Linked DNA regions of Lepisosteus oculatus. The protein of the gene in region 2 interacts with the protein of the main gene of each other region in a pairwise test. Links are inferred from orthologs where the notes say so. Each region holds a gene or a part of one and is shown on either strand. Other genes may lie near its edges. The genes, in order: NADH dehydrogenase [ubiquinone] 1 alpha subcomplex assembly factor 4-like and ndufaf3.

Region 1 (15,346 bases), on a different chromosome or scaffold from region 2:
CTGTATCTGAAAATGCAATAAAACCTGTAGTTAAATATTTTTAATCTCTGTGGGCGAAATCTAAACTGTAAAGAAACATTTTATGCTAAGAAATCAAAGGAGAAATAATAATCAAAGTGAAAGAACATAAAAATAAGTATAATAAAAGCACCAATGTGCTGCAATTGTTAGTCAGAAACATACAGCTCAAAAATGTACATTAAAAATAATTCATTTGCAGGTTAACTGTAACTTGTATCACTGAGCAGAACTGCACAGGGCAACATTTCCCTTTCAATACAGAAACAAAATTGTTACAAGAAAACCCATATCTTTAGCAATCAGTAGCTGTCCAAAAGCAATGCCTTTCACTATGATAGATTTTGTATGTATAATGTACAACAGTAAATGATGCAGGGAGAAAGACAGAATCACAGAATAAAAGAAAATAGTTATCATTTGATTTCAGTTTACTATCATTTGACAGATCCCTGTGTACGTTTCCTAAGATAAAATAAACCTAGAATCTACTATTTGTGCTTTTCTGGAGCTGAGAAACAATGCCAAATCTATTTCATAACTGGGAACACTTATGGCAAACTGACTTGGTTGAATAATCAAAGTCAATGATGTAAAAATGAGAAAATACAAATATTCTAAAAAACATGGGGAATTTCTTATAATATCTATGTTCAAATTCGTATATAAAATAATGACTTGAAAGATTTTTCAAAATGAAACAGGAGCATATGATGACATTTAGAAACGGTCGTTTCAGCCATATAGGTCCTTGGGTACTTTAGCTCAAAACAAATGTTTTTTGTTTAACAAGAAATCTGGTTTTAAGAAGGTCAGCATGGTCAGAGCTTCTGGGTCCTGAGTTTATTGCCAGATGGGAGTACGTTCTGAGTAAAGTTGAAAGATTCTTCTCCCGTTTGTGTACGTGCTCACCAGCTGCCCAGGACTCCAGAGAACCGCTGTACAGTATATCACTGTATGTGCACCCTATTTTGTGTCCTGCACTTCCAAGATAGCTTTGTTGTAAGCTTATGTTTTATTATTATTATTATTATTATTATTATAATTGTCAAGTCTCTATATGTCAAGTTTCTTCATCTCAGTTATTTCATAAGGTGACCTGGGTTCAATTCCAAATCTGGGGTGCTGTTTGTGTCCTTCCTGTGCTCACCTAGGTTTCTTCCAAAAGTCCAAAGACTGGTGGCGTCTGGGTAAGTTCATTTGTGAATGTGTGCCTGTCTGCCCTGTGATGGATAGGCTTCCCGTCCAACTTGTATCCTGCCTTGTGCCCATTCCTTGCCTGGGCAGACTCTGGCTCCTCTGTGAGTGGATGAAGCTGTGAGAAAATGGATGGGTTTCATAAAGTACTGTAAAGATGAATGACTTATACAAGAAGAAGAAACATGTCAGACCTTGTACGTATTCAATTCACCGCTGCATTCTCACTACATTACAACACACATCAAGTGGTTATAATTTTATCTACTTGAATGCCTTTTTGCTTAATATATTTTAACTTAATATGGTATAAATTAATGAAATAATCTAAAAGCTTCAATTTTGTGCTGCATCAAACTCTTGCAGGTCCACATTTAAAAACCAGAGTTGCTCTTTTTCACTTGAGCCATTCGCCACATCTATTGATATACTGTACATCTTATCATAGAACATATAGTCCTGGGAAGTTGTTTGTTATCCACACAGCATTTATATTAAATAGTTATTACAATCATATGAAGTATTACTGAGCCACACCTCAAAATTAGGTGACAATGCTCCTGTGATAAATATGTTAAGTCACAGTCAACACCATTCTTCAAGCAGTATTATGAAAAGAAAGGATTACTTGCTAATTGACAGAAATATCAAATATCAGAGGACTATAGGACAAAAAAATGATTTACAAGGACAGTTTTTTTCAATTTCTGTATTATGTCTTCCAAATCAACCCGAGGTCATATCATCTTAGCATTGTAAAATGCAAATGTGTTACATTTAAGTACTGCAGAAACTAACATAAAACAATAACATAATAACCACTTTCTATAAGGTAGCAGCTTTCGTAGCATGCTTTTTTCATACAGCACCAAACCTGCAGAGACCACTTCAGAAAAAAATGTTCAAAATGGTTTGTGTAACTAGTAGTGCTAGTTTATAAGGGTTTAATTTCAATATAGCAAAAGATGCATTTTATGTGTCTTTTTCTGATTTCTGATGTATTGTTTTGCCTACCTGTTAAAATAATTCTGTTTACAAGCCTGTGGGAATAAAAGATTCAGTTTCTATTGATCTGGGATCGATGAGAAAAGACTAAAGTTGGACCAATAAAAGACGAGAGTCTGTGTATATATGTCTGTGTACTGTATATATGTTGCTCATTTACTAATTCAACATTAAAATATGGATTACTTCTTATACAAAGGGACACTTAATATAGTTCAATTCAACCACAAAAAATACAATCACTTTTACAATACAAGAACAGCAAATATGAAATGAAATATTAAATTAATCTTTGCAACATTTTTTTATTCCTTAATCATTTTTATTTAACATTGTTTAAAACCAATCAAGGAACTGCATCTTGTAGCCTGGGCAATGCAGTACAAATGTCCAGAAAATATTAACCAAAAAATACATTTCAAACAAAAGAGGATGATTACATTAATTTTTCTACAACAGATCAGTGATGAAGACTGTTAGTTAGCTTTTATCTGCTTCTTGTCTTCAGTCTTTGGTGGTATAATTTTAACGTCAAAGAGAATGAAGAATTCCAGAAGTGCCTTGGTATCCTTTAAGTCTAAAGAGTACTCTTGGGCTATTTTATTAGGTGTCCAAGATTTAGGAGAGTGTTTGTAGTTGTTGAGGACGGTCAAGGCCTCCACAATGGACAGTTTTCCTTTTGGGATGTCTTTAATGTCCAAAATGCCATAGGGGTTTCCCACTACACGGGATTTGCAAGGCCTGCACTCCTCTTCATTTTTACTTGGAATTTTTGTCTTCATCGGGTTCTGCAAGAATTGAAACACAAGAATTTACAACATGTAAGAAAGAGGAGAAAAAGAGGGAATGAATGTCTTTAGTAATCCCAATGGGCATTTTTTCTATATCGAAAATATAGACAATATAGAAAACACAGAAAACAAACACCACACATAAACATGAACTAGAGAATCATCTCATAAGCAAGGTTATGGCCACAAGATAATAATAAGGAAAAATAAGCAGAATATCACTCAGACCTCTTCTGCATGTACCACATATATTATGATATATGCAGATTAGTTACTCAGAAATCAGTGATCCTCTACCCAGTACAATAATATTTCGTATTCTTAACCTCAAAGTGGCTGAAGGCAAACATTAATAAACAATTGAAGTGATACATACTGTACACTGGCTATCAAATAAGGACTCGCAGCTGTAATTTCTGCCAAATGTGCCTCTAACAAATATTATTTGATTTCAAGGGGGGTGAATACTGCTGGAATCAGTTATTTTCTGTTTTATTTTTTAAATTAATATAGGCAGAGCTGTAGAATTTTGTTTTCACTTTGAAATTATAATGTTTTGTGTCAATAAATGGCAAAAAATCCCATTGATTTCTTATTGCAACAAAATCTAAAAAATCAAGGGGGAGAATACTTTTGAAAGTGACAATACTATTATTCCAGCAACTATATCACCCTGCAACTCACAGCTGTCAGCCCATTGAAGCTCAGCAAGTGTGAGCCTGGTCAGCACCTGGATGGGAGGCAAACTAAGGCTGCTGCTGTAAGAGGTGTTAGTGGTGCCTGTAGGGGGTGCTCTCCCTACAGTCTGTGTGGGTCCTAATGCCCCAGTATAGTGATGGGGACACTATACTGTAAAAAGAAGCCGTCCTTTCGGATGAGACATAAAACTGAGGTCCTGACTCTCGGTGGTCATTAAAAATCCCAGGGTGTTTCTCGAATCGAGTAGGGGTGTAACCCCGGTGTCCTGGCCAAATTTACCATTGCCCCTGACCAATCATAACCTCCTAATAATCCCCATCTATAAATTGGCTTCATCACTCTGTTCTCCTCCCCACTGAGAGCTGGTGCATGGGGAGTGTACTGGTGAACTATGGCTGCTGTCCAGGTGGGGCTGCACACTGGTGGTGGTGGACGGGATCCCAATTAACTTTAAAGTGCTTTGAGTGCGGTGTTCAGAAAAGTGCTATAAAAGTGTAAGCAATTATTTATTATTAATAATACATTATTCATATGGGTTGAATAAATTGGGGGAAAATGGGAATCAAGAGTTAATTAATCAAGGGAGACTGTGAGCTCCTGGCTATATTTTGTCTGGGAAAAGTGAACAGGGCTTTGTTTCACATTGGGATAAGCATTCCAGCAAAACTGTTCTTACCTGTTGGGGAGGGTCTTTTGACTCCACATATACTGTCTTTAGTAATGACAAAAGATGCTCATTCTTCTTATTGATGGATTCAGTAGCCTCAGGATCTATATCAACAAGTGAGAAAGAAAACAATTAAGTAGGTTTTATTTTCTAGAATTCTCTTGTCTTTAAAGCTGACGTTTATTCTCTAGAGTCGACATTATTTCACACCTGTAACACAATAGATTTACCAAACTATAAAGTGAAGTGCTGCACTTACCATCTGCTATGCTTTGCTACAGCTTTGCGAAACAGAAGCCTTAGACATAGATGAGGGTTTTGGAAATATGCTTTTTCCTTTACGCTTTCAAAATCTGACATATCCTGGTCACACCCACACACCAGGGCCAACTTTCCCAGATGCCAATTAACCAACCAATATGTTTTGGGACTGTGGAAGGAAATCCTTGGGAAACCCACGGGGGGGAACATGCAAACTCTACACAGACAGCACCCCAGATCCAGAATTGAACCCAGGGCCCCTGTGTTGCGAGGCAGCAGTTTTAACCACTGCACAAAATATACTGCCCTTGTTAGAACAGGTACAAGAAAAAAGAGCCTTAACTCATTTTGCTTCTTTTTACAGAAATGTGAAGACAGAACTTCCCTTAAGTATATTCTTTAGGTTACCCCCATGGAAAACATCCCAAATGTTCAGGTAATTACAGAATTGACCAACCAATATAAAAACAATTAAAAAACAGTACATCAAGTGCAGCCCCATGTACAATTATACCATGTATGAGATGAATACCTCGTTTAAAATTTCGTTTAGTTAAGTACAACTGCAGGAAGTGGACCTAGTTAATGTTAAAATATTTTCCTTTCAAAATACTTTAAAATTTAAATATTAATCACACATTTATACTGCATTCTTAAGTACAAGGTCACAGCTCAGTTTACATAAAACCCCTTGACTTAAAATTCTTCTTGTTTCAGTTTAACGATGTCGCAAAAAGCTTAACAAATCTAAATCGATACTCTAGTAAGGGAAATGGTCATCGAATTTACTGGTAATTCTTGGCATATTCAATAAATTTACTAAGACTTCAATGTCACTGACATGATGTTGATATTTCAAGAATAAATATCGTTACATTAAATAGGTTAAATGTTAAACAAGGAACATGATTTAAGTAGAGTACATAAGATAAAATATCACAATTATCTATGAAAAAGCATCGCGTGTGTCTGTGTAACTCATTCAATGCACTACACGTTACACAACCTCGTCAATGACAAATTGCTCACTGGTGTTTTTCGACTTACTTTCTTTAATTTGCTGTATGATGCCTTTAGTCAAAGGGTGATGAGGCGCCGCTGAAGGTTTGGATTTGCTTATCTCCTTGTGAGCCCGGTTTTCCAGATTAAAATTTCTGAACGCACGTGAAACACGCGACCCCATATTTCACTTCATAATACAATTTTATCGCACTCCGTGAAACGTTATGGTCAGACAGCCGAACTTTCTACGGAAAGGGACAAGGAACAAACACAACCAACCTTGAAAACCAGTGCATAAAAGACGTCACTCTTGTGTCACAGCGGATGAGTTCAATGCGAGTAAGATCAGGCAGCGAATTTAATATATCCAGAAATAAACATCCGAGACTCTGTATTTCACGATTTATTCTTTTATATCAATAGCCTCCTCATTCGTAGATGGGTCTGTACTTGAGCTTCTGTCTAAATTGAAAAACCTTGAGGTGATATTCGATTCTGGCTTAACATTCGACCCACATGTGCAGCATATTGTCAAAACATCTTTTTTTCACCTCAGAAATATCGCTAGACTACGCCCTGTGCTGTCACTAACTGTGGGTGAAAAGCTGATCAACACATTTGTGTTCTCTCGAATTGACTGCTGTAATGCTCGACTTTCTGGGGTATCTAACTCCACATTGAACAAACTCCAGTTTGTCTAATATTTGGCAGCCAGAATCCTGACGAGGTATAGTGCAAGTGATCACATTACTCCTATCCCGGGGTCCTTGCACTGGCTTCCTGTCAAATTCCGTGTGGACCTTAAAATCCTCATGCTCGCCTATAAGGCTCTGCATGGCTTGGCACCTCAGTACCTGTCTAAACTATTATAGCCCTACTCCCCACATCAGAACCTTCGCTCTTCAAATTCTGCCCTCCTTACTGTCCCCCAAGCCCGTCTACATTGTATGGGCGACAGGGCCTTCTCCTGTTATGCCAACAAGCTCTGGAACTCTCTGCGCAAGGATACCAGAGAGTCACCTTCTCTGAACTCCTTCAAATCCAGACTCAAAACCTTCTTCTTTAGAAGAGCATTTACTTAACTGGTTCCATTCTTCACCCCTCTGCTTTTCCTACTACCCCATCCACGGTCTCCTCTGTATATTGTAATTGTGTTTTATCTTGTGTATTCTTTTAATTTATTGTCGTTGTCATTCTGTAAAGCGCTTTGATAAGCCACCTTTAAAGGCGCTATATAAAATAAGGTTTATTATTATTACCATTCTTGTAATTCCACTGAAACCACACTATAGACTATGAGAACTCTGAGCAACCATATTGTATAAATTGAAATACTATACCTAACAGATGTTTGTTAAGCTGCTAATAAGTAACGATAAAATGCAACATTATAATCTGTAAGGTAAACAATATTTCAGAATATCACCGATTGATAGGATTCGGGACACCGCAGGTTTGTCAATTGTAAACGGCAACTATTCGTTTGCACATATATTTTAATTGTAAATGACTGTGTAGGGCGTTTCCTCTGTGCAGTACATTAGCATTGCTGTCTCGCTACGGTGGGGCCCTGGGTTAAATTGCTGAGATGCTGCATGGCGTTTGCACCCTGTCCCCATGATCACGACGTGGGTTTCCTCCCACAGTCCAAAGACATACTCATATACTCCGGCGTGAGTGTGTTGCATGTCTGTGTCTGCGACCCTGTATTTGGATGAAACGGTTAGAAAATGGATAGATGGATGCACTGAAAATAATGAGGAACGATTTCAAGTGAAATATTTTTTTTTACTTCAAATATATGTAACTTGAGGGGGGGGGGATCTTGAAAAAATAAAATATTGGGCCATAAGAAAAAGATATAGAATTATTTTCGCTCCCAGCTTCTTCCAATTCAGGGTAGCAGGGCAAGGGCAGCCAGAGCCTTTCCAAAGGGCGCACAGAGGGATATATCCCGGACGGACGCGACAGTCCATCACAGGGCACACACACTCACACCGGGAGAATTTTCCTGGAAGCCAGTTAATGTATTTTATTAGTTTAGGGGATGTGTCTGTCTTTTAAGATTGTTTAAATTCGATTTTTAGGCTAGTGAACACAGATCTCACAAATTGGCTTAGCAAACCAATAACCATATAAAACAGAAATGAAATAATTCGCTGTTTGGTGTAGATCAATAAAAGGAAATAGTGCAGCTGTTGACTAAATAAAAAAATGTTTTTTTTAATTAAATAAAAAAATATATTTTTACAGACCCACTGTCCCCGTGAGTTCAAACACTTTTTTGGTAGAGTTTATCACTACGGTCACTGTATTCAGCACTAACTTTCAAGTGGTGTTAATAGGCGTTACCAGAAGGCGGCAGCAAATAACGAGAAAGAATGTGAATTATTATTGAGCCACACCTCAAAATTAGATGACAATGCTCCTGTGATGAATATGTTAAGTCACAGTCAACACCATTCTTCAAGCAGTATTATGAAAAGAAAAGATTACTTGCTAATTGACAGAAATATCAAATATCAGAGGCCTATAGGACAAAAATCTGATTTACAAGGACAGTTTGTTTACAATTTCTGTACTATATTTTCCCAGTTTACCCTGTGGTCATATCATCTTGGCATTGTAAAATGCAAATGTTTAACTACTGCAGAAATTAATATAAAACAATAACATAATAGCAACTTTCTATAAGGTAGCAGCTTTCGTAGCATGCTTTTTTCATACAGCACCAAACCTGCAGAGACCACTTCAGAAAATAAATGTTCAAAATGGTTTGTGTAACTAGCAGTGCTAGTTTATAAGATTTAATTTCAATATAGCAAAAGATGCATTTTATATTTTTTTCTGACTTCTGATGTATTAAGTTTGTTTGCCTACCTGTTTAAATAATTCCATTTACAAGCCTTTGGGAATAAAAGATTCAGTTTCAATTGATCTGGGATCGACGAGAAGAGACTAAAGATGAACCAATAAAAGACGAGAGCCTGTGTATATATGTTGCTCGTGGCTATTTACTAATTCAATATTAAAATATGGATTACTTCTTATACAAAGCAACACATAATGAAGTTTAATTCAACCACAAAAAATACAAGCACTTTTACAATACAAGAATGGCAGATATAAAATGAAATATAAAATGAATCTTTACAACATTGTTTTTATTCCTTAATCATTTTTATCTAATCTCGTTTAAAACCAATCAAGGAACTGCATCTTGTAGCCTGAGCAATGTTGTACAAATGTCCAGGATGATTACATTAATATTTCTAAAACAGATCAGTGATGAAGACTGTTAGTTAGCTTTTATCTGCTTCTTGTCTTCAGTCTTTGGTGGTATAATTTTAACATCAAAGAGAATGAAGAATTCCAGAAGTGCCTTGGTATCCTTTAAGTCTAAAGAGTACTCTTGGGCTATTTTATTAGGTGTCCAAGATTTAGGAGAGTGTTTGTAGTTGTTGAGGACGGTCAAGGCCTCCACAATGGACAGTTTTCCTTTTGGGATGTCTTTAATGTCCAAAATGCCATAGGGGTTTCCCACTACACGGGATTTGCAAGGCCTGCACTCCTCTTCATTTTTACTTGGAATTTTTGTCTTCATCGGGTTCTGCAAGAATTGAAACACCAGAAGTTTACAACATGTAAGAAAGAGGAAAATAAGTGCGAGGGAATAAATGTCTTTAGTATTCCGAATGGGCAATTGTTTACAGCAGCAGACAATATAGAAAACACAGAAAACAACATACACAAACATGAACAAGAGAATCATCTCATGAGCAAGGTTATGGCCACAAGAATATAATGAGGAAAAATAAGCAGAAAAACACGTCTCTGCTGCATGTCCCACACATATTACTGTATGCCTTCTCCAAAAATGCAGATTAGTCAGTCAGAGATCAGTGTTCCTGTACCCAGTAGAATAATATTAAGTATTCTTAACCTCAAGGTGGTAGAAGGCAAACATGAATTAACTATTTATGCAGCATGTGATACATACAGTGGCTATCAAAAGACTGTATGTACGACAAGAAACATTATTTAAGCATAGTACATGAGATAAAATATCACAATTGTCTATGAAAAAACATCGCTTGTGTCTGTGTAACCCATTTAATGCACTACACGTTACACAACCTCGTCAATGCCAAATTGCTCACTGATGTTTTTCGAATTTCTTTTATTTGCTGTATAATGCCTTTGGTCAAGGCGCCGCTGAAGGTTTGTGAGCACAGTTTTCCAGTTTAAAATTTCTGAACGCACATAAAACAAGCGACCCCATATTTCACTTCGTAATACAATTTTATCGCACTCCGTGAAACATTATGGTCAGACAGCCGAACTTTCTACGGAAAGTGACAAGGAACAAACAAAACCAACATTGAATACCCGTGCATGGAAGAGGTCACTCTTGTGTCCACGGATGAGTTAAATGCGAGTAAAACCAGGCAGCGAACTTATTATATCCAGAAATAAACCTCCGAGACTCTATTTTTGACGATTTATTTTCTGATATCAATTCCCCCCTCATTTTTGTACTGAAACCATACTATAGATTATGAGAACTTTGAGCAACCATATTGTATAAATTGAAATACTATACCTAACTAACGTTTGTTAGGCTGCTAATAAGTAACGACAAAATGCAACATTATAATCTGTATGGTAAAAAATATTTTAAAATATAATTGATTGATGGGAGTCGAGACACCGCAGGTTTGTCAATTTTAAACGGCAAATATTCTTTACAAGAATAACACTTCTGCACGTATCTTTTAATTGTATATATGTTGGGCGTTTCCTAAACAGACATTTCTTCTGTCTAGGAACAAGTAATAGGTTTATTCCATGCTGAAAAAAGACATATATACATATAGGGTGGAGGGGTGGCTCTGTAGCTAAGGATCTGTGCCTGTGGCTGGAAGGATGCTGGTTCATATCCCATGGCTGGCAGAGGAATCCTACTCCACTGGGCCCCTGAGCGAGGCCCTTAACCCCAGCTGCTCCAGGGGTGCAGTATAAATGGTTGACCCTGCACTCTGACCCCCAGCTTCCCTCCCTGTCTGGGTGTCTCATGGAGAGCAGGCTGGGGTATGTAAAAAGACTAAAATTCCCAAAACAAGAAATTGTATATGGCCAATAAAGTGATCTGATCTGATCTGAAGTTTGTTGAAAAATTATTTATGACACCTGAAGAAGGCTCCACGGCCGAAACGTTGTGTTCTATTTCTTCTTTTTTTTCAGCATGGAATAAACCTATTACTTGTTCCTTTGCAGCCTACGCACGCTGACGCAGCTACCCACCTGAACTAATTTCTTCTGTCTTATGTCTTCTTGGACATACTGTATTTAATCTTTCTCTAGCTCAGTCTATAGTTCCTTCCTGCTTAAGAAAACCACCATCGTCCCTGTCCCTAAGAAACCCAGAGTCAGTTGCCTTAATGACTGCAGCCCCGTTACACTCACATCAGTTATCATGAAGTGCTTCGAGTGGTCAAAGCATACATCACCTCCTCACTGCCTGACACCCCCAGTCCCACTACAATTTGCGTATCGCCAGAACAGGTCAACAGAAGATGCTATTGCCACTGCCCTCAATACTGCCCTCTCACACCTGGATAAGAAAGGAACATACAGAACTGTATGTGAGAATGGTGTTTATTGATTACAGCTCAGCATTCAATACCATATTGCCCTCAAAGCTTGTCATCAAGCTCCAGGACCTGGGACTGAACACCTCCCTCTGTACCTGGATCCTGGACTTCTTGACAGAACGTCCGCAGGTGGTGAAGGTGGGCACCAACATATCCTCTACCCTGACTCTAAACACTGGAGCCCCCCAAGACTGTGTGCTTAGCCCTGTCCTCTACTCCTTATTTACTCATGATTGTGTCGCCAGGCATAACACAAACTCCATCATTAAGTTTGTAGACGATACAACAGTCATCAGCCTGCTCACAGATGGTGAAGAGTCTGAGTACAGGGAGGAGGTTGAAACCCTGGCGGCATGGTGCCAGGAGAACAACCTCTCTCTGAGCATCAGTAAGACTAAGGAGATGATTATGGATTATAGGAAACACCAGGGAGGAGATCACACACCTATTTACATCAATGGCACTTCAGTGGAGATGGTCAGCAGTTTTAAGTGCCTGGGAGTTAATTAATTTAGGCGATGTGTCTGTCTTTTAAGATTGTTTAAGTTACTGTACATTTTTAGGCTAATGAACACAGATCTCACAAATTAGCTTCGTAAACTATTTTCCACATAAAACAGAAATGAAATAATTGGCTGTTTGGTGTAGATCAATACAAGCAAATATTGAAGCTGTTGACTAAATAAAAAATGTTTTTTAATTAAATAAAAAAATATTTTTGAATATTTTTTGAAACTCGTTGAGTTTATCGCTGCGGTCACTGTATTCAGGACGAACTTTCAAGTGGTGTTAATAGGTATTACCAGTAGGCGGCAGCAAATAACAAGAAGGAAAAAGCCTTTAAAATAGTCATTGCAATCTTTTCCACTTATTAAAAGCAGAGGAAGTGGTAGTTATGTGCTATGATCTCCGATATCTGTCAGAGTTTCTCAGAAACAACGTAACTAAGCTTGAACCTGAGTTACATTTTAAAGAGTGAATGATGATTTCAGGAAAAACGGTCATTTAAATTAATTGTGTGAGGAATACTGCCAACATCTTTAATTCTTGCCATGATTTATATCTCACGAAAATATTTAACCTCCGATATTTTGGTTTTCTAGAGAATACTGCATATTTCCTGAATAGTGATGCAAGATTTATAGAATGTAGAAGTTAATAAAAAAAACTGTTTGCTCGAACATGTGACAAACACTAGTCTCTCATGGAAAAACATGCACAAGCTGTTTGATTTTTTTTCATAATCCACTCCACCTTTATTGCATCAGCATTCTACATGCTACATCTGGGAATAATCTTCTTAATACAGAAAAATGCATGGCCCAACACAGAAAAACACCACATACCACCACATAAAATCAGCCTGGGGAACAAGGAAATCTAAAGTTCTTCACCGATTATCTGACAAACTACGACATTGGCATGTACTATATATTACCTGTACATCAGCACAGTTGAGTGGATCATTAACATGGTTGTTAATTGTTTTTTTTTACCATTTTTCATTCCTTTGTCCATATCTAACAGCAAGGTACAGTATTATAAAGAGGTACAGGAGGCAATAGAGTAGTGCTGGAGTACTCATGCGGGTTGAGAATGCAGCACTACATGCTTAGATTGAATTTTTACTACAGAAATCCTGCCAATAGATTCCCAGTTCTACAGTACTGTACCTACTACTCAAAACACCTAAAGAATCTTGAACACTTTTGGTTAATTTCCAGGTACTTCCCAGCTTGGTAAAACTCCAACCCCTCTTGGACAAATTACACAGTAAGCACTAAACTGTACATAGTAAGAAAGCTCCTAGGCTCCTATTATACCTACTGTATATGGTAGAGGTCTCCATCCCTGGTCCTGTAGAGCACCAGCCCAGCTAGTCTTACATATCAGTGGTTTCACATGATAGGAAACACATTTAAGGTATCAGTGAAGTAAGCAAGTTCCATTTAGGAATCTTTTGGTTACTGAAGAGAGCTGAGAGAGGTACTCAGAATCTGGTCTGATATGATCTCTAAATTGCTTGATTTATCATGATGAAGTTGTCTAATATTTTTAGTTCGTGAACTCAGAAACCCAGACTACAGGCCCACCTCCAGCTGTGAACAGGCCCATGGTGATTACAATAATATAAACAATCCATCCATCCACTTCCTAACTGCTTCATCCACTCACGAGTTGCAGGAGAGCTGACGCCTATCCTGGCAAGCACCGTAAAAAATGGGACACACCCTGGACAGGACAGGACAGCAGTCCATCGCAGGGCACACAGGCACACTCACACCAGGGCCAGTGTTTCTAGGAGACAGTTAACCTAGCTGTATGAGTTTGGACTGTGAGAGGAAACTGAAGCAGCTGGAGGAAACCCACGTGAACACAGGGAGAGCACTCAGATAACACCCCAGGGCCGGCATCGAACCCAGGGCCCCAGAGCTGTAATTGTGCTGCCCCAATATAATTTATATAAAATCTTAGCATAGAACATTATAAATAAGATATAAAGAAATAATTATAGGCTGCATAGGGCTAAGGAGAGGAGGTTTAGTTTTTTTTTTCTGTCATCCCTGCTTTTTACTTTGAAACGTGCTGTACCAACACATTCAGTACGTTGCTTGGCTTCCAGGATTCTCTGAGAAGTGCCTTTCTTAACTTAAAGATGTTGATTATGGTCAGCAAACTTAAATACCAGCTGCGGAAGAGCTATGACTGCATTGTGCTCTTTCCGATGCCTGGTACAACCCTTGTGTCTTCTTAAAACATTGTTTTGTATACAGCCAATACCAGACAAAATAATGAAAAACATTAATTATGCATAGAATTAAGCTATTATCTCATATCATGAAATTGTGTGTTACCTATTAGTGATTAAACTGTTCATACAACTTATTTTTAGCTTCTACTACTGTAAATAAACCATGTCACAATAACAAATTGAATCCTTTTACTTTAGGAAAACGTGCTGGCTCACTATTGGTCTAATAATGAGAGGACAGAAGATGAACTCGCTGGAAGCACATGGTCTATTGGAAAGGCAAAAAGCAATGAACCGGCTGGGTAGCAGTGAGAAAACATTGAGCAGGTGTGAAGAAGGAGTCCACCTAGGAGAGGTAGTCACAGAGCCTGGTCATTGGTGGAATAGTGACTTGTGGTAGGAGACTTTAGCTAAAAACCACAGCCAGCAGCGCTAGTGCTGGGATTGCGCCACTCATGGGGAAATGGCTCTCTGGATAACCGATTGCCGCTGACTGAAGTCACACTTCAGTGAGTGTGAAATGACTCTTTATACACAAATAATAATCGAGTCATTAAAACAGCATATTTATGAAGCAGTAGTGTAGGGTTGGAACAATATACAGTATGTTCTGCAAATAATGGTGCAGTAATACAGTATAGTCGACTTGCTGCTGGCTGGGGCCTATTGTTGTCTTTTGCTTAAGGAATATCTGAGTACAATGTTCATTTAATACATCAGCCATTTCCATTTCACTGTCCAGAAGTGTACTGTATAAGTCCCTGGAGTACTGTACTTCATCCTTGATGGCTCCTGTGCTGTTGTAGAACTGAAAGAACGTATCTCATCCTTAATTGTAATGTTCCTTTCAATTTCCTACTTGGCTTCTCATTTAATTCCCCAATTACTCCCTCATTAAAGGAATAAAACATCTGTTGTATATCAATTAGAAGAAATAGTTATTAAATAAGCAAGTCGTAACAAAATCGGGCTTGTGGAGCTACTTGAATAGAAAGCCCTTTTATTTCAATGATATTTAACAGCTTCTGGCGAATCGTATGTACTCCAACAAAGTTTTAATAAAAATAGTGGCTGTTTTCTAGAAATATTTTGGTTTTATCAATGGCAGTTTTGGATTATACAAATCAACAAAAGAGGAAGAGAATTCTGACCTTCATGTCTTTAAGTATAATGAGCAGTTCTTTATTGTTGCATTGTAGGTTGAATCGAGTTTTAAAACATTATAATTTAACATTAAGGAAATGACAATTGCAGACTGGACAACAGTTTAGGAATGAAAGCCAACTTAACAAGTAGAATG
Region 2 (15,023 bases):
CTGCTGGGTCTGTGCATTTGCCTCAACACCCACAGCGATGAGTCTGCAGCTTCACGGCCGATTTCATTTGTCTGCTTGCTTGTTAGGACTCACTTATCCAGTTTCTGTGGTCAGTAGTGAGAGGGCCTCTGCTGTCAGGTACCTTTCACAGTTTCCAGCAGCTTCAGCACACATCTTTACTCAACCTTTTCTCAGCTAGCAGGAGTGACACTGTAACGGGCGTGCCCACACTGGGGGGTGACACGATCAGGCAGGCCCTAGTGCATGACTGCTACTGCAGCAGAAACACCCACTTTGTCCAGCTCTCCCCACACTGCTGCAGGACACAGGAGCTGAAGGCCATCCTGTGTATTCAACACACCGGTCCTGTGAGAAAGGGATACTTTATTGACGCTTATTAAATACACCTGTTTAACACACGGCAAACAGCTACCAAGTGACACGAGACACTGACGCACAGAGACCCTGCAGGCTGGCCTTGTGGGCGGAGTTGAGCAGGATCACAGCGACACCATGCCTGTGGGAGTGAGGGACCTGGATGTCGACACACGTGGAAGGAGGGACACAGACAGGCCTCTCTCCTGGATCTGAAGCACGGCTGTTCTCCCACGCAAACCAGGGGCCAGCTCGTCTGCTTGCAAGTGGCTGAAGTGCTTTAACGGTCCTGGTTAAACCCTGAGTGGAGTTTAATACTTCGACAGTTCCTTGCGGTTGTGCTGAGCCCAAGCTGCAGGACAGCCCCAGGGGCATGAGGGGCCGGTCAGGGGCCCCTCCCGCCCGGATACCTTCCTCATGTCCCCCTGGGCGGCGCTGGCCGCACCACTTCCTGTGTGCGTGTGTGGACCCCCCCCCCGCCCTCGGGCCTCAGTCCGCGTCGGTCCTGACGACGGGAGGCGGGATCAAGCCGGCCGCCACGATCCGCCGCTCACTGCACAGGAAGTTGAAGGTGGCGCAGGCGTTGGGCTGGAGAGAGGGGGGGGGGAGGGGGTAGAAAGCATGAGGTGGGGTAAAATAAAGAGGTATTTTCATCAACTAGAGCTTCATCACAAGCCCTGATGAAGGCCTGCACTTAATTACAGCAAATATAAGCAGCCATATCACCCTGCATCTCACAACTGGCAGCCCACTGAAGCTAAGCAGGTGTGAGCCTGGTCAGTACCTGGGTGGGAGACCTCCTGGGAAAAACTAAGGTTGCTGCTGGAAGAGGTGTTAGTGGGGCCAGCAGGGGGCGCTCACCCTGTGGTCCATGTGGGTCCTAATGCCCCAGTATAGTGATGGGGACACTATACTGTAAACAGGCGCCGTCCTTCGGATGAGACGTAAAACCGAGGTCCTGACTCTCTGTGGTCATTAAAAATCCCAGGGCGCTTCTCGAAAAGAGTAGGGGTGTAACCCCGGTGTCCTGGCCAAATTTCCAATTGGCCCTTACCAGGTGGATGCTACACATTGGTGGTGGTGGAGGGGAGTCCCCATTACCTGTAAAGCGCTTTGAGTGGAGTGTCCAGAAAAGCGCTATATAAGTGTAAGCAATTATTATTATTATAAATAGTCTCCTCTTTGTCCCCATCATTATTTCACTAACCCCAAATGCACCTGTCTAGAAGCAGAACAGCTATCTGATGTGGGTGAGGGTCAGCGGACGGCACCGAGAGCAGACCCTGCGCAGGCTGGCGTTGTGCGAAAGGACACGCCAGCCCTCAGCCGATGCGATCAAGCCTGATACACATTTCTCGTCGCACGAGTCCTCATCCAAAAATAAGTCTCACGACTTGCTTCTTCAAAAAGAAGTCTTGAGCCTCTCCCAGTCTGGCCTGTTTTCTATCACCCATTTCGCACGGCGCTGCTGGGAAGACATGCCCATCGAAGCCCTGCTGTAACTGCCTGTAGAAACTACAGTTCCCACGGGGCCGCTGTCTCGGGATCTGGGATTAGCACAGTTTAGTCCGGATGAACGGAACAGGTCAAGTGCGATTTGTAAGATGGCAGCTTCTTCCTCTGAACAACTGCAACGCCCCACACTCCCCGTCCGCCATGTGTCCCCATGTCCAGCAGCTGCCCACCCCGCCTCACCGTGTCCTGGACCTCCACCGCGATCCCCTTCCTCCTCATGAACGCCAGAACCTGCGGGTCGAGGCGCTCCACGCTGGCCCCTGTCCCCAGGACCAGGATCTCTGGGACCAGAGAGAGAGAGAGAGAGACGGTGCTGCAGCAGTGTGACGGACACAGGGTCTTACACAGAGGTGCTGTTCTCCTGCACTGCCACACAGGGGCGGTACAGACACCGTACAGGTACGACACGGTGCACTCTCTCTCTCTCACCTATCCTGGGCTCCAGCAGGTGGAACAGGGCCAGGCTCTCTTCACAGATGTCTTTGTAACTGCCCACCTGCAGGGGGAGACAGAGAGAGAGGGGTAGTAACAGGGGAGAAACACAGAAACAAGAAGGCAGAGAGACAGTCACGCACTGAGCAGTTCAGTACACACTGACATTCCACTGCAGGATGGCAGGGGGCAGCAGAGCACAGGGTCCGAGCACTCGGTTCCCATCCACCAGGAACCCCCGGGGGCTGTAGCTCTGGATCAGAGCCGCACCCCCTTCCTTTTGCAGAACCGACACCGAGGTCCGCTGGTACAGCTCATCATCGCTGGGGGTCAACCTGTGAGAGCGGCTGAGGGGGGGGCTGAGAGACACGTGGAGAAAACAGAGGGAGAGGAGAGAGAGAGACAGGGAGATGGGAGAGGAGGGGAGAGAAGAGAGTGGAAGGAAGGCGTGATGGAAAGGAGAGATGAGAGGGGAGAGAGAAACAACACAAGAACAAAGAAGCCGTCAGTTATAATACTGAGAAAGTCTGAAACCCAGTAGAATGTGCCAAAATTCAGGAGTCAAAAAATACTAAAAAGAAAATCTATACTGTAATTGCACACAGGCCTCCAGCTTAACAAAATCCGCGTTCGGGCAGCTCGTTTCAGATTTTGATCCCCAAAAGCGATGAAGAGAATCTCCTACGGCATGAGATCCTTTTACAGTACCGGGAACATTTCAGTCGAACTCACTCAGAACTTAAACAACCAAATCAATAACCAAGGTCGGTCCCGCACAGGAGCGCAGAAACCCGTCTGGAAGTCCACCTGATCTCTCCAGGCGCAGAACGAATGCGAGCGCTAACGAAGGTCAAACAGTGTTGAAAAGCGCGTTTTTAGTGTTACTACAAAAGCGCAGACGCACACCGCGATAGGAGCGTCTTACCTTGTGGTAGCGGGCAGCGCCCCCCGTCCAAGCCGAAGACCGGGCGCCGAACCGCGGGACAGCAGCCGAACGCACCCCGCCAGCGCCATGGCTCCTCCAGCACGGAACCGCACGACAGCCGAGGAGGCCGGAGGGAAGAGATTTACTGCGGCACACACACTGCGGGGGCCGGCGGAAGAGACGGAGGGCCGATGGGAAGGTGGAGGAGCGTCGACGTTGACGTAAAGCGGTTGGTGCTGCCCCCTACTGGCACGGAAATGAACTCGCCTTGGCTAAAATAATACGGGCTCTGCTTTGAGCGTCGAAGACAGATCGTCTCGTCCAAAATCATTTCGCTGTGTGCTTAGTGCTAATAATAATAATAATAATAATAATAATTGCTTACACTTATATAGCGCTTTTCTGGACACTCCACTCAACGCGCTTTCCAGGTAATGGGGATCCCCTCCACCCCCACCTGGAGTACCTTCTAAAGGAACGTTTTCTAAAACTAATAGCAAAATGGCCAACACGAATGTTCTTAATGTTCAGCTTCTGTCCCACTGCAGAGCCTCTGACTCCACACACATCTGCACTCTGCACAGTCTACCATGGTTTTTCCCCTCACTACTACATATTGATTGTTCCTGTTGTTACTATTGATTATGTCTGTACTGTACTGTCTACACTGTGTGGTGTTGTCTGTTGTAGTGTCTGTCCCGAGAGATCAACGCGATTAAGAATTCCAATGTACGTGTACACATGGCCATAATCAACCAATAATAATAATAATAATTGCTTACACGTATATAGCGCTTTTCTGGACACTCCACGCATATATAGAGGTGTAGAGGTCAAAGTTCACGAGTGTGCGCAGTGTAGAAGTCAAAGTTCACGAGTGTGCGCAGTGTGGAAGTGTAAGTTCACAAGTGTGCGCAGTGAAGAGATGTAAGTTCACAAGTGTGTGCAGTGAAGAGATGTAAGTTCACAAGTGTGTGCAGTACAGGGGTGTAAGTTCATCATTGTGCGCGGTGAAGATGTGTAAGTTCACGAGTGTGTGCAGTATAGGGGTTTGTAAGTTCATGAGTGTACCCAGTGAAGAGGTGTAAATTCACGAGTGTGCCCAGTATAGAAGTGTAAGGTCACAAGTGTGCGCAGTGAAGAGATGTAAGTTCACGAGTGTGTGCAGTACAGGGGTGTAAGTTCGTCAGTGTGCGCAGTGAAGAGGTGTAAATTCACGAGTGTGCCCAGTGTGGAAGTGTAAGTTCACAAGTGTGCGCAGTGAAGAGATGTAAGTTCACAAGTGTGCGCAGTGAAGAGATGTAAGTTCACAAGTGTGTGCAGTGAAGAGATGTAAGTTCACAAGTGTGTGCAGTGAAAAGATGTAAGTTCACAAGTGTGCGCAGTGAAGAGATGTAAGTTCACAAGTGTGTGCAGTGAAGAGATGTAAGTTCACAAGTGTGTGCAGTGAAGAGATGTAAGTTCACAAGTGTGCGCAGTGAAGAGATGTAAGTTCACGAGTGTGTGCAGTACAGGGGTGTAAGTTCGTCAGTGTGCGCAGTGAAGAGATGTAAGTTCACAAGTGTGTGCAGTACAGGGGTGTAAGTTCGTCAGTGTGCGCAGTGAAGGGATGTAAGTTCACAAGTGTGTGCAGTACAGGGGTGTAAGTTCGTCAGTGTGCGCAGTGAAGGGGTGTAAGTTCGTCAGTGTGCGCGGTGAAGGGGTGTAAGTTCGTCAGTGTGCGCGGTGAAGGGTGTACGTGTAGGTGTGGGAGTGTTCCCGGAGCAGCTGTTGGTGTGTGCCCCGCTTGGCCAGCGTGAGTAAACAGGCTCTTCCAGTCTCTCTTCCCTCTTCGGTCGAAAGCAGAAGTGAGTGGTGAGGTGCCAAGGGGAACAGGGAGAGAGAGACTTGGCCTGCCTGGCACACGGCGCCACGGAGCTGGAAGAGTCTGCAGCACAAAGCACAGTCCTGGCAGAGGCGGGCAGTGGGTCCCCAGTGGGTTTAGGCGAAGCTGGTGAGGCGTGCAGGACGGCACATCAGGAGATCCTCCGTCACGGGTTCGCCTTTCCAAGCTCAGCCTCCCCCTCGGGCCGTGATCAGAGCTGGCCTGGGTGGGGGCAGGCGGGCGTCATTTGTGTCGCTGACTCCTTTCCCAGGAGTAAATGCTTTCAATCCTGAAGGTGCCGCGGTCCCAATGTGTCCGTTAGAAATTGTCAGCTGCTGAGGTGGAGTTCAACCAGTTCACCTCAATTAAAACGGAAATGGTTCAGGCTGAAAGACTGGGGTTTAGTGCTGTATCTTATACATAGCTGAAAGAGGACAGTCAAATCCAGGTATGTTATCTATATGTAAAACTTAGATCTTACAGCATAGGAAACATGTACTACAGACAGACAGCAGAACAACAGAGAGTAAGAAACCCAGACAGACAGAAGAACCACAGACAGACAGCAGAACCACAGACACCCAGAACCTCAGGCATATAGACTGACCCCCAGGCCATTCAGTTCCCCAGGTCTGGTCAGTGTTCCATACACCGATTGACTCTCACAGTACTGAGCACAGCCCATTACACTGAGTGACTCTCTCACAGTACTGACCACTGCCCATTACACTGAGCCACCGTCTCACTGTACTGACCACTGCCCATTACACTGAGTGACCGTCTCACAGTACCGACCACTATCTGTTACACTGAGTGACTGTCTCACAGAACTGACCACTGGCCATTACACTGAGTGACCGTCTCACTGTACTGACCACTGGCCGTTACACTGAGTGACCGTCTCACTGTACTGACCACTGGCCGTTACACTGAGTGACCGTCTCACTGTACTGACCACTGGCCGTTACACTGAGCTACCGTCTCACAGTACTGACCACTGGCCATTACACTGAGTGACTCTCTCACAGTCACAGTGACTTACTCTCTCTCACTGTACTGACCACTGGCCATTACACTGAGTGACCATCTCACAGTACTGACCACTGCCCGTTACACTGAGTGACCGTCTCATTGTACTTACCACTATCTGTTACACTGAGTGACTCTCTCACAGTACTGACCACTGCCCATTACACTGAGCCACCGTCTCACTGTACTGACCACTGCCCATTACACTGAGTGACTCTCTCACTGTACTGACCACTGCCCATTACACTGAGTGACCATCTCACACTACTGACCACTGCCCGTTACACTGAGTGACCGTCTCACTGTACTGACCACTGCCCGTTACACTGTCCCGCAGTGCTGATAACTGTCAAGCCGTAAGAAGTTTCCACCTGCCTCCTAGATTTCTGCTGCCCGAATACAGCAGGGAATTATAGTGCTTGACAGGGGTCAGATCTGGAGTCAACATTATCACCACATCACATTGTCTCTTCTTCTACGGAAGCAATGTGCAAGAGTCATCAGGATGTTTGGATGTCGAGTTAAAAGCATTCAAATTGCCCGACGTGTCAGGTGAGCCTTGTCTCCAGTACTGTGGAGTCTGGCTCCAAGCCGCTGGTGACAGTTGCAGAAGCAGCTCCATGGATGTTCTGGATCACTGGGCTGAGACTAACAGATGGTCCACAGAGGCCTCAGTCCCGGCGGTTCTGCGCCTGTGTTTCACCGTGAATTCTCGGGGAAACCTGAAAGGCCAGGTGGAGAAACTGAAAAGCGGGACGGGTCGGACAGACATGGGATTCTGAGCGACATTTCCCAGGCGAGTATCCCACCGCTGAAACCACGGGACTTTCCAGCCTCATTCCAGCAACGTCATCTGATCTTCCCAAGGGGGTTGGGGTGGGGGCACTGATAACTGATACGGCACCCCTCCCCCAAACCCAATCTGCTACCTACAGGAACATGCTTTTCAATCACACCCAGCTGCCGAGAATCCAAGCCTGCTCCTAGCACAATGTGGCGAATTCCCTATACATCAAATTAACTGAATTGGGCATTTCAGGTGGTACGGTGGTAGGGCAGTGTGCAGTCCTGGGGCCCTGGGTTCGATTCCCGACCTAGGGTGCTGTGTGCGTGGAGTTTGCATGTTCTCCCCGTATATATATGTGTGTGTGTGTGTGGGGGGGGTGTCCTCCGGGCGCTCCAGTTGCCTCACATTTTCCAAAGACATGCTGGTGGGTTAATTGGCTTCTGGGAAAACTGGCCCTGCTGTGAGTGACTGGCGTGCCACCCAGAGCGTACCTCGCCTTCTGCTCATTGCGTGGCAGGATAGGCCCCTGCGGCCCTTTCAGTCTACTGCTTAACTCACAGCTCAGGTGGCAGTGGGACATGTCCGCTCTCCATCTGGAGACTGGGAGCACTGGGCACTTCAATGAGTGACTTGACAGGAAAGGATCACTAATGCTGATCTCACCAGGGACGACAACGTCCAAGAACAGGGCGCTTTGAGCATGTGGGGGGGGGGATCTGGGGGGGCAGGTTTGGCTCGGCCTGCTTGGTCAGCGGTCAGCCTCCTGGCCACAGGGCGAGGAGCTCGGACCCCATTCGGGAGTGACCCGGGGGCAGAAGCAGGGAGGAGATGGGCTGGGGGGGACGCCTGTGAAGGGAGGGGTTTGTGCTTGATATGTAGAGCTAATTTCTGTAATGACGGTGATCAGGTACCGCCGTGTGAGATTGACTTGTCCTGGTTATCCCTCCCGAACTTCAGAGAATAACTTCCATTAAATATGCTTTCTAGAATAGCGAGTAGGCCTGTTTGAGGAAGAGCAATCTGGTCCTGTGCTGGGCACCTCCTGGGGGTCATGACCCTGGAGGAGAGCAGGGTGCCGGGCTGGGGCAGAGGGGGAGAGAGGGGGACTGAGGGCACAGAGGCGGACAAGTGGGGGCAGAAGAGGTGGAGAGAGCAAGAGAAGTGGAGGAGAGAGGGAAGAGGGTTGGAGCGAGGGAGGGAGGGGCAGCCAGAGAGGTTACAGAGGATTCAGTTACAGAGAAAAAGAAAGTGAAAATGACTCTCAGCCTGGCTGACAAGAGGAAGTCAGGGCTCATAAATACGGCAGGGGCTTCGCTGGGTTCCAGCACAGCGGGCGGACGGCGGAGGGGCTGGCGGATCAGGCGCACCGCGTGCCCAGAGACGGTGAGTTGCCTTCGATCCGAGAGCTGTGGGCCCCTGGGCGTTTCTCTGAGCAGTCTGGCACGGCCAGGTCTGGATCAGCGCGCGCTGCTGGGGTACCGCGACCCCTCGCTCTTTTGTCTGAGTGTGGGGGGTCAGGGTACACACCGCAACACAGAAACCTGACGTACTTCACGGGGAAGAATATAGAATCCGTTACAGCCTGATGTCGTGACTGGAAGGAAAAATCGTTTCTCATCTCAAACGAGCAATCTGCCGTCTTCGTTGGCTGAATTTTTAAAACGGTGCCCCCGTTTTTCGCTTTAAATTTAGAAAGCGTTTTCTCTGCTGCAGCATGGCGTGAAATTACATTTCTCTTGTTATCTTGTTTTTAATCTTTCCTTCACGTGTCCACCTCTGAATGAGACAGAGACTGGGAGAGAGACAGAGAGACAAAGAGAGACAAGTGAGACAAAGACTGAGAGAGCTTATTGCTAGAACTTTAGAAACATTGTGTTTTGTTGTCCACATCAGTAAAGCTTTTTGGATCTGGATTGGAGAAACAGAGTTTGGCAACATTCATTCATCACACAGGCCAGTACAGCTCTTTGAATTTCAATACAGCTGTAGCCCAGTATGTGATCACCTGTCACACCCTAAGGAGCGCAGAGCACGCCTCTCTAACACTAATAATAACACCACAGAAAATAGTATTGTTGTAAATACGTGCAGTTGCTTTCTTATTGTTTTGGCAACAGTGTGATTCCTCAGACACGCCAGCGATTCTCTCTGAAGGCAGAGAGGGAGAGAAAGAGATAGAGGATGTTCCATGTGGAAAGCTTTGGCAGCGTGTTGGACATATTACATTAAAACAGATTTGACTGGAACTGGGAGGGAGAGGGAAAAGGATAGGAAACTGTAACGGTAGAAGTTTTTATTTGCCCTGCTGCAGCACGAAGAGATTGTGTCTGTCCGTCTTGGTTAAAGGTTAAAGGTTACATTAGACCTGAGCAGAGCACAAGAACACAGCCTGAAAAGCCGATACCACGCCAGTCCTAGACTTCGCTGTCTGACGGGGCTGTCCAGCACAAGAGCTCCAGGACGGGACACAGACTCCTGTCCCACCCGGGCTTGATGCTGTGTGGAAGTGTCTTTGGGCTCAGGGATGGGAGGAGCTCTTGGGGAACTATGGCCCCCTCTTGTCACCTGCTTGCAGTAACTTCTGCTCTTCCCATTAGCGGCCTCTCCTGCTTTCTCCCTGGCTGGTGCTGAGGTCACGTGACGGCGCCCCCGCCGGCCGCGGGCAGGCCGAAGACAACCGCTCAGACACGTCCCGATGATGTCAGCGTGCGGGTCGGTAACGGAACCCATAATGCAGCTGTTACCGAGACGACCCAGCTGATTGCGGGTTCCGTACCCACTCCTACGCCATGGCAACGGGCAACCCCAGGAAGACCAGGAACCAGGAAGGGGGGAGTGGGAGGCAGAGAGGGAGGGTGAGGGGCAGGAGAGGAGGGGGAGAGAGGGGCAGGAGAGGGGGGGAGTGTGTGCCTGTGTGCCGGCGTGGGCAGCTTACAGTGTGTGTACAGTACTGTATGTGTGCGGGCGCACTCCACCACAAACAGGAAGCAGGCCGTGTGGGTGTGCTAGTCAGTTACTGAAAGTGAAAGAGTCCGAAACCGGGGCTTTCCAGAACAGAGGAGAGCTGGGGGAGGGGCAGAGAGAGGGAGAGAGAGACAGGAGAGGGGCAGAGAGAGAGAGACAGGAGAGGGGCAGAGAGAGGGGGAGAGAGACAGGAGAGGGGCAGAGAGAGGGGGAGATACAGGAGAGGGGCAGAGAGAGGGAGAGAGAGACAGGAGAGGGGCAGAGAGAGGGAGAGAGAGACAGGAGAGGGGCAGAGAGAGGGAGAGAGAGACAGGAGAGGGGCAGAGAGAGGGAGAGAGAGACAGGAGAGGGGCAGAGAGAGGGGGAGATACAGGAGAGGGGCAGAGAGAGAGAGAGATGGGAGAGGGGCAGAGAGAGGGAGAGAGAGACAGGAGAGGGGCAGAGAGAGGGGGAGAGAGACAGGAGAGGGGCAGAGAGAGAGAGAGATGGGAGAGGGGCAGAAATAGACAGGAGAGGGGCAGAAAGAGGGAGACAGACAGGAGAGGGGGCAGAAATAGACAGGAGAGGGGCAGAGAGAGAGATAGAGAGAGAGATGGGAGGGGGCAGAAATAGTGAGACAGACAGGAGAGGGGGCAGAGAGGGGCAGAAATAGACAGGAGATGGGAAGAAATAGACAGGAGAGGGGGCAGAAATAGTGAGACAGACAGGAGAGGGGGCAGAGAGAGAGAGAGAGACAGGAGAGGGCAGTAAGATAGAGAGATAGGAGTGGGGGGTATAAAGAGACAGAGGGGACAGAAGGACAGAAAGAGACGGAGCAGTGTGGAGGGAAAGAGGTAACTGGGGTAACAGAGAGAGGGAGGCAGAGGCCCTGCAGAGACAGGTGTCAGCTGGAGCAGGGGAGGGGCTGCAGGCAGATGTCCTGAAGGAACAGCCGCTCCTCTATGATGTGCAGGTGCTCTCATTGGCTGGGAGTGATGTCACGGAGGGAGGCTGCACTCTGGAATGACACGTTTTCTCCCGGTTCGCCAGACCCACAGGAGCCATCGGGAAACTCGTGTCAGCCAAGACTGACGGCCCAGGACACCCGTCGAGGCAGAGAGAGGGCCGTAGTGTCGCTGTCCAGTCACAGCCGGCCGGGCCCCCTCATACAAGGTGCTCTGAGAGTAAGGTTAGGCGAGAGGGTTTGGGGAATTCTGGTCCACATTTGCTCCGATCGCTCATGTGCATGACAAACCCTTTATCCCCCGTCCTCAGTGCTTGGCTGTGACCAGGTGGACAGCATATTGGATTCACTGGCTGGAGAAGACACCACTAACACGATCCCTTCATTCCCAAGAAAGAGAAGAATCAGAATGACTACTGTCACATGAAAACACACAAACACTCACACAAAGACAGACAGGGCTGGATGTGCAGCTAACTGAAGAACATAGGAGTGCCACTCAGATCATTCTGTTTTGGATATAAACATTTGACATCATGGGGCGGTGAGGTGTCTCTATGGCTTAGGATCTGCGCCTGTGGCTGGAAGGTTGCCAGTTCGTATCCCGCGGCTGGCAGAGGAATCCTACTCCGTTGGGCCCCTGAGCAAGGCCCTTAACCCCAACTGCTCCAGGGGCGCCGTATAAACGGCTGACCCTGCGCTCTGACCCCCAGCTTCTCTCCCTGTTTGTGTGTCATGGAGAGCAAGCTGGGGTCTGCGATAAGACAGATTCCTAATACAAGAAATGGAATATGGCCGATAAAGTGATCTGATCTTGTGTCTTGCTACCTGTCATTGTTTTTGCAACACTGTAATTCATTCATGAAAAAGTGAAAGAAGAAGTGTTAGAGAATGTTAGAGAGTGTCACAGGGAAGTGTAATTGCCGTAACCCAGAGACAAAGTGAGAGACACAAAAACAGGACCTACACCAAGGTCTTAGCAATGTTTGTCGAAATTGCCTTACTTAGTTAATCTTTCGTCGAGCTCTTGAACACATTGTATGAACTTTATGACAAACACAATAAATGATATTTAATACAAAAGTAAACACTTGTTTGGTTTTACTTTATATATATACGCGTTATTATTTTAAAAGATTGATTAGAAAAAGTCGACTTTTGACAGCTTTAGCCACACACAAGATGGCGACGATGTGACTCCAGGACCAAAACGTCACGTGTCGAGATTGTTGCTCTCGGGTGAAATTCCCCCCGAAAACAACGGGTAACGACTGCAAGGTTCCACCCGGGAGTGAATTTTCACGAGCTGGAAACGTGTACTGAAGACTGTAGGGTTATTAACTGATGTAAGAAAAATATATTTAAAAAAAAAAGAAATGATTTATTTTTAACTTGAGAAAACGGTCGCGCTTTCGTATGCATAATGGAGGGTGCGGAGGGGTCGCCCCTTCGGATCAGCTGCACGGTCCGAGCTCTGAGCTCCGCGCTGCGGGGCGACCTGGAGGCTGACGCCGGCTCGCAGCGCTCCCCGCTCGGCCGGAGCAGCTCGGCCGGCCCGGGGGGGCTCTGGTTCAAGGAGAGCAGCGCGAAAAACCTCCGCAGCAGAGATTTCTTAGCGCCGGCCGCCGTGCTGAAAAAACTGTACCCCGACGGGCAGGTAAGTGGCTGTCGCGCCGGGCTGGACTCGGATGTGAGAGTTTTCCTTCGCCGGTGTTTCGCTGCCGGGCACCGGCCCGTCATCTGACGGCGGACAGGGTCCCCGGGCCCGCGACTGGACCGGACTGGACCCGCTCGCTGCACCGCGGCGTGAAGCCGACAGCGCTGAGCTCCGTGCTGCTGGGAGCGGAGGGGTGGTAGTGGAAGAATATACAGATGGAGGGGTAGAGGAGTGGATAGAGGGATCTAGTGATGGCAGGGTCTCTAGAGGATCGAGGGGTCTCTAGAAGATAGAGGGATCGAGGGGTCTAGAGGATCGAGGAGGGATGGTGGGGTCTCTAGAGGATCGGGGAGGGATGTTGGGGTCTCTAGAGGGGTCTCTAGAGGATCGAGGAGGGATGGTGGGGTCTCTAGAGGATCGAGGGGTCTCTAGAGGATCGAGGAGGGATGTTGGGGTCTCTAGAGGATCGAGGAGGGATTGTGGGGTCTTTAGAGGATCGAGGGGTCTCTAGAGGATCGAGGAGGGATGGTGGGGTCTCTAGAGGATCGAGGGGTCTCTAGAGGATCGGGGAGGGATGGTGGGGTCTCTAGAGGATCGAGGGATCTCTAGAGGATCGAGGAGGGAAGGTGGCGTCTCTAGAGGGGTCTCTAGAGGATCGAGGAGGGATGGTGGGGTCTCTAGAGGGGTCTCTAGAGGATCGAGGGGTCCCTAGAGGATCGAGGAGGGATGGTGGGGTCTCTAGAGGATCGAGGAGGGATGGTGCGCAGGCAGACAGAGAGCCGGTGACAGGCCCCTGTTCCCCCGTGTGTGTGCCACAGGTCCCGGGGCCCGTGGTCCAGAGACTGCTGTCCCTGCAGGCGCCGGGCCTGCTCCCGCTGGGGGCGTGTGAGGCGAGCGCAGCGGGGCTGCGGGTTCGAGCCGATCGCCCCGCCGTGTTCCGGGACGTCCTGGAGCACCCCTCCCTGTACCTGGGCCCCCCCCCGGGGCAGCTGGGCAGGGGGGTGGTGCTGAACTGCCCCGTCTTGCACCCCCGGCCCTCCTCCAGCTCCCTCTCTCTCGGCCAGCTGCGCGCTGTGCTCGTCACTGACCACCTGGCGGCGCTGTTTCGCAAGCAAGGGTGAGTAGAGCTGGGGGGGGGCGCTGACTGACTGTTGACTAGACTGATTTTTGTAGTTTTTCTCTGGCGGTGATGCCAGGGACACATTTTTACCTCTTTGGATGGCCAGCAGAGTTACTGTTGTATACAACGTAAAAGCAAAACAGAGATCGGAAGGGAGAGGCAGAGGCAGGAGAGGATGTGGTTACAGACGAAGGAGGACGAGTCTGTCCAGCTCGGTGAAATGCATGGAAAATCGGTGTCTGTGTGTGTCTCTCCGTGTGTGCGTCTCTCTCTGTCTCTCTCTGTGTGCGACTCTCCGTGTGTGCGTCTCTGTGTGCATCTCTCTGTCTCTCTCTGTCTCTCTCTGTCTCTCTCTGTCTCTCTCTGTCTCTCTCTGTGTGCGTCTCTGTGTGCGTCTCTGTGTGCGTCTCTGTGTGCGTCTCTGTGTGCGTCTCTCTCTCTGTGTGCCCTGCAATGGGCTGCCATGTTGTCCTAGGTGTATCCTGCTTTGCACTCATTCCTTCCTGGGATAGCCTCTGGCTCTCCTGGGACCCTGTACTGGATCAAACTGTCAGAAAATGGATTGGCAGAACTGATAATGATGATGGTACAGGCTAATATACCGAGAAGTAACCTGCCAATAACAATTGTCTTGTTCACTCCATCTCTGTGTCACGCTGCCTGTCTCTCTCAGGTTCAGTGTCTCCCTGTGCCCGGTCCTAGAGGAAGGAAGTGACATCATCTCATTTCTCCGACTGCTGGGAGTTGATTGGCCCACGGTGTCCACGGGGTGGACCAATCGGGAGACAGAGCAAGCGCTGTGGGAGGCTCTGCTGAAGTCCCCCTACGCTGAGGAGGCAGGAGCTGGTGACCTTGAGGCGGCAGGGGGTGCCAGCAGTGAGAAAGTGGGGAGACGCATACGTGTGGACATCAGGAGGGTGATCCAGGAGCAGAGGCTGCAGGGATACGATCCCAGTCTGACCACCTGCCTGGGTGAGAACGCCACTGCACTCATTGGGCACTCTTGCTATATCACATTCTCTGTGCATCTCACTCAGTGACGTCACTGGACACTCTTAGCTTCACTGTACCCCACTGTCAACATTACTGGACACTCTTGTCCTGTCTCACTGTCACTGTGCCCCTCTGTCAACATCACTGGACACTCTTATCCTGTCTCACTCTCACTGTACCCCTCTGTCAACATCACTGGACACTCTTATCCTGTCTCACTCTCACTGTGCCCCTCTGTCAACATCACTGGACACTCTTATCCTGTCTCACTCTCACTGTACCCCTCTGTCAACATCACTGGACACTCTTATCCTGTCTCACTCTCACTGTACCCCTCTGTCAACATCACTGGACACTCTTGTCCTGTCTCACTGTCACTGTACCCCTCTGTCAACATCACTGGACACTCTTATCCTGTC

Evidence for each region.
Region 1: the proteins of ndufaf3 (region 2) and NADH dehydrogenase [ubiquinone] 1 alpha subcomplex assembly factor 4-like interact in binary tests that used the Homo sapiens proteins (3 or more experiments, as listed by UniProt). The two-hybrid records come from large-scale screens. The link is inferred for Lepisosteus oculatus from reciprocal best matches to the Homo sapiens genes NDUFAF3 and NDUFAF4.

The regions. Positions count from the first base shown.
Region 1 is NC_090697.1:6,372,962-6,388,307, reverse strand, and holds NADH dehydrogenase [ubiquinone] 1 alpha subcomplex assembly factor 4-like, read right to left. Parts: upstream 5,885-15,346; 5' UTR 5,822-5,884; coding exon 5,686-5,821; intron 4,482-5,685; coding exon 4,387-4,481; intron 3,009-4,386; coding exon 2,697-3,008; 3' UTR 2,506-2,696; downstream 1-2,505. Other genes in the region: ndufaf4 (NADH dehydrogenase [ubiquinone] 1 alpha subcomplex assembly factor 4), read right to left, coding at 8,939-9,250, 9,854-9,922. UniProt on the Homo sapiens protein: Involved in the assembly of mitochondrial NADH:ubiquinone oxidoreductase complex (complex I). May be involved in cell proliferation and survival of hormone-dependent tumor cells. May be a regulator of breast tumor cell invasion.
Region 2 is NC_090699.1:65,566,818-65,581,840, reverse strand, and holds ndufaf3 (NADH dehydrogenase [ubiquinone] 1 alpha subcomplex assembly factor 3), read right to left. Parts: upstream 3,400-15,023; 5' UTR 3,337-3,399; coding exon 3,248-3,336; intron 2,682-3,247; coding exon 2,489-2,681; intron 2,387-2,488; coding exon 2,320-2,386; intron 2,172-2,319; coding exon 2,071-2,171; intron 964-2,070; coding exon 865-963; 3' UTR 368-864; downstream 1-367. Other genes in the region: dalrd3 (DALR anticodon-binding domain-containing protein 3), read left to right, coding at 12,258-12,491, 13,310-13,608, 14,285-14,583. UniProt on the Homo sapiens protein: Essential factor for the assembly of mitochondrial NADH:ubiquinone oxidoreductase complex (complex I).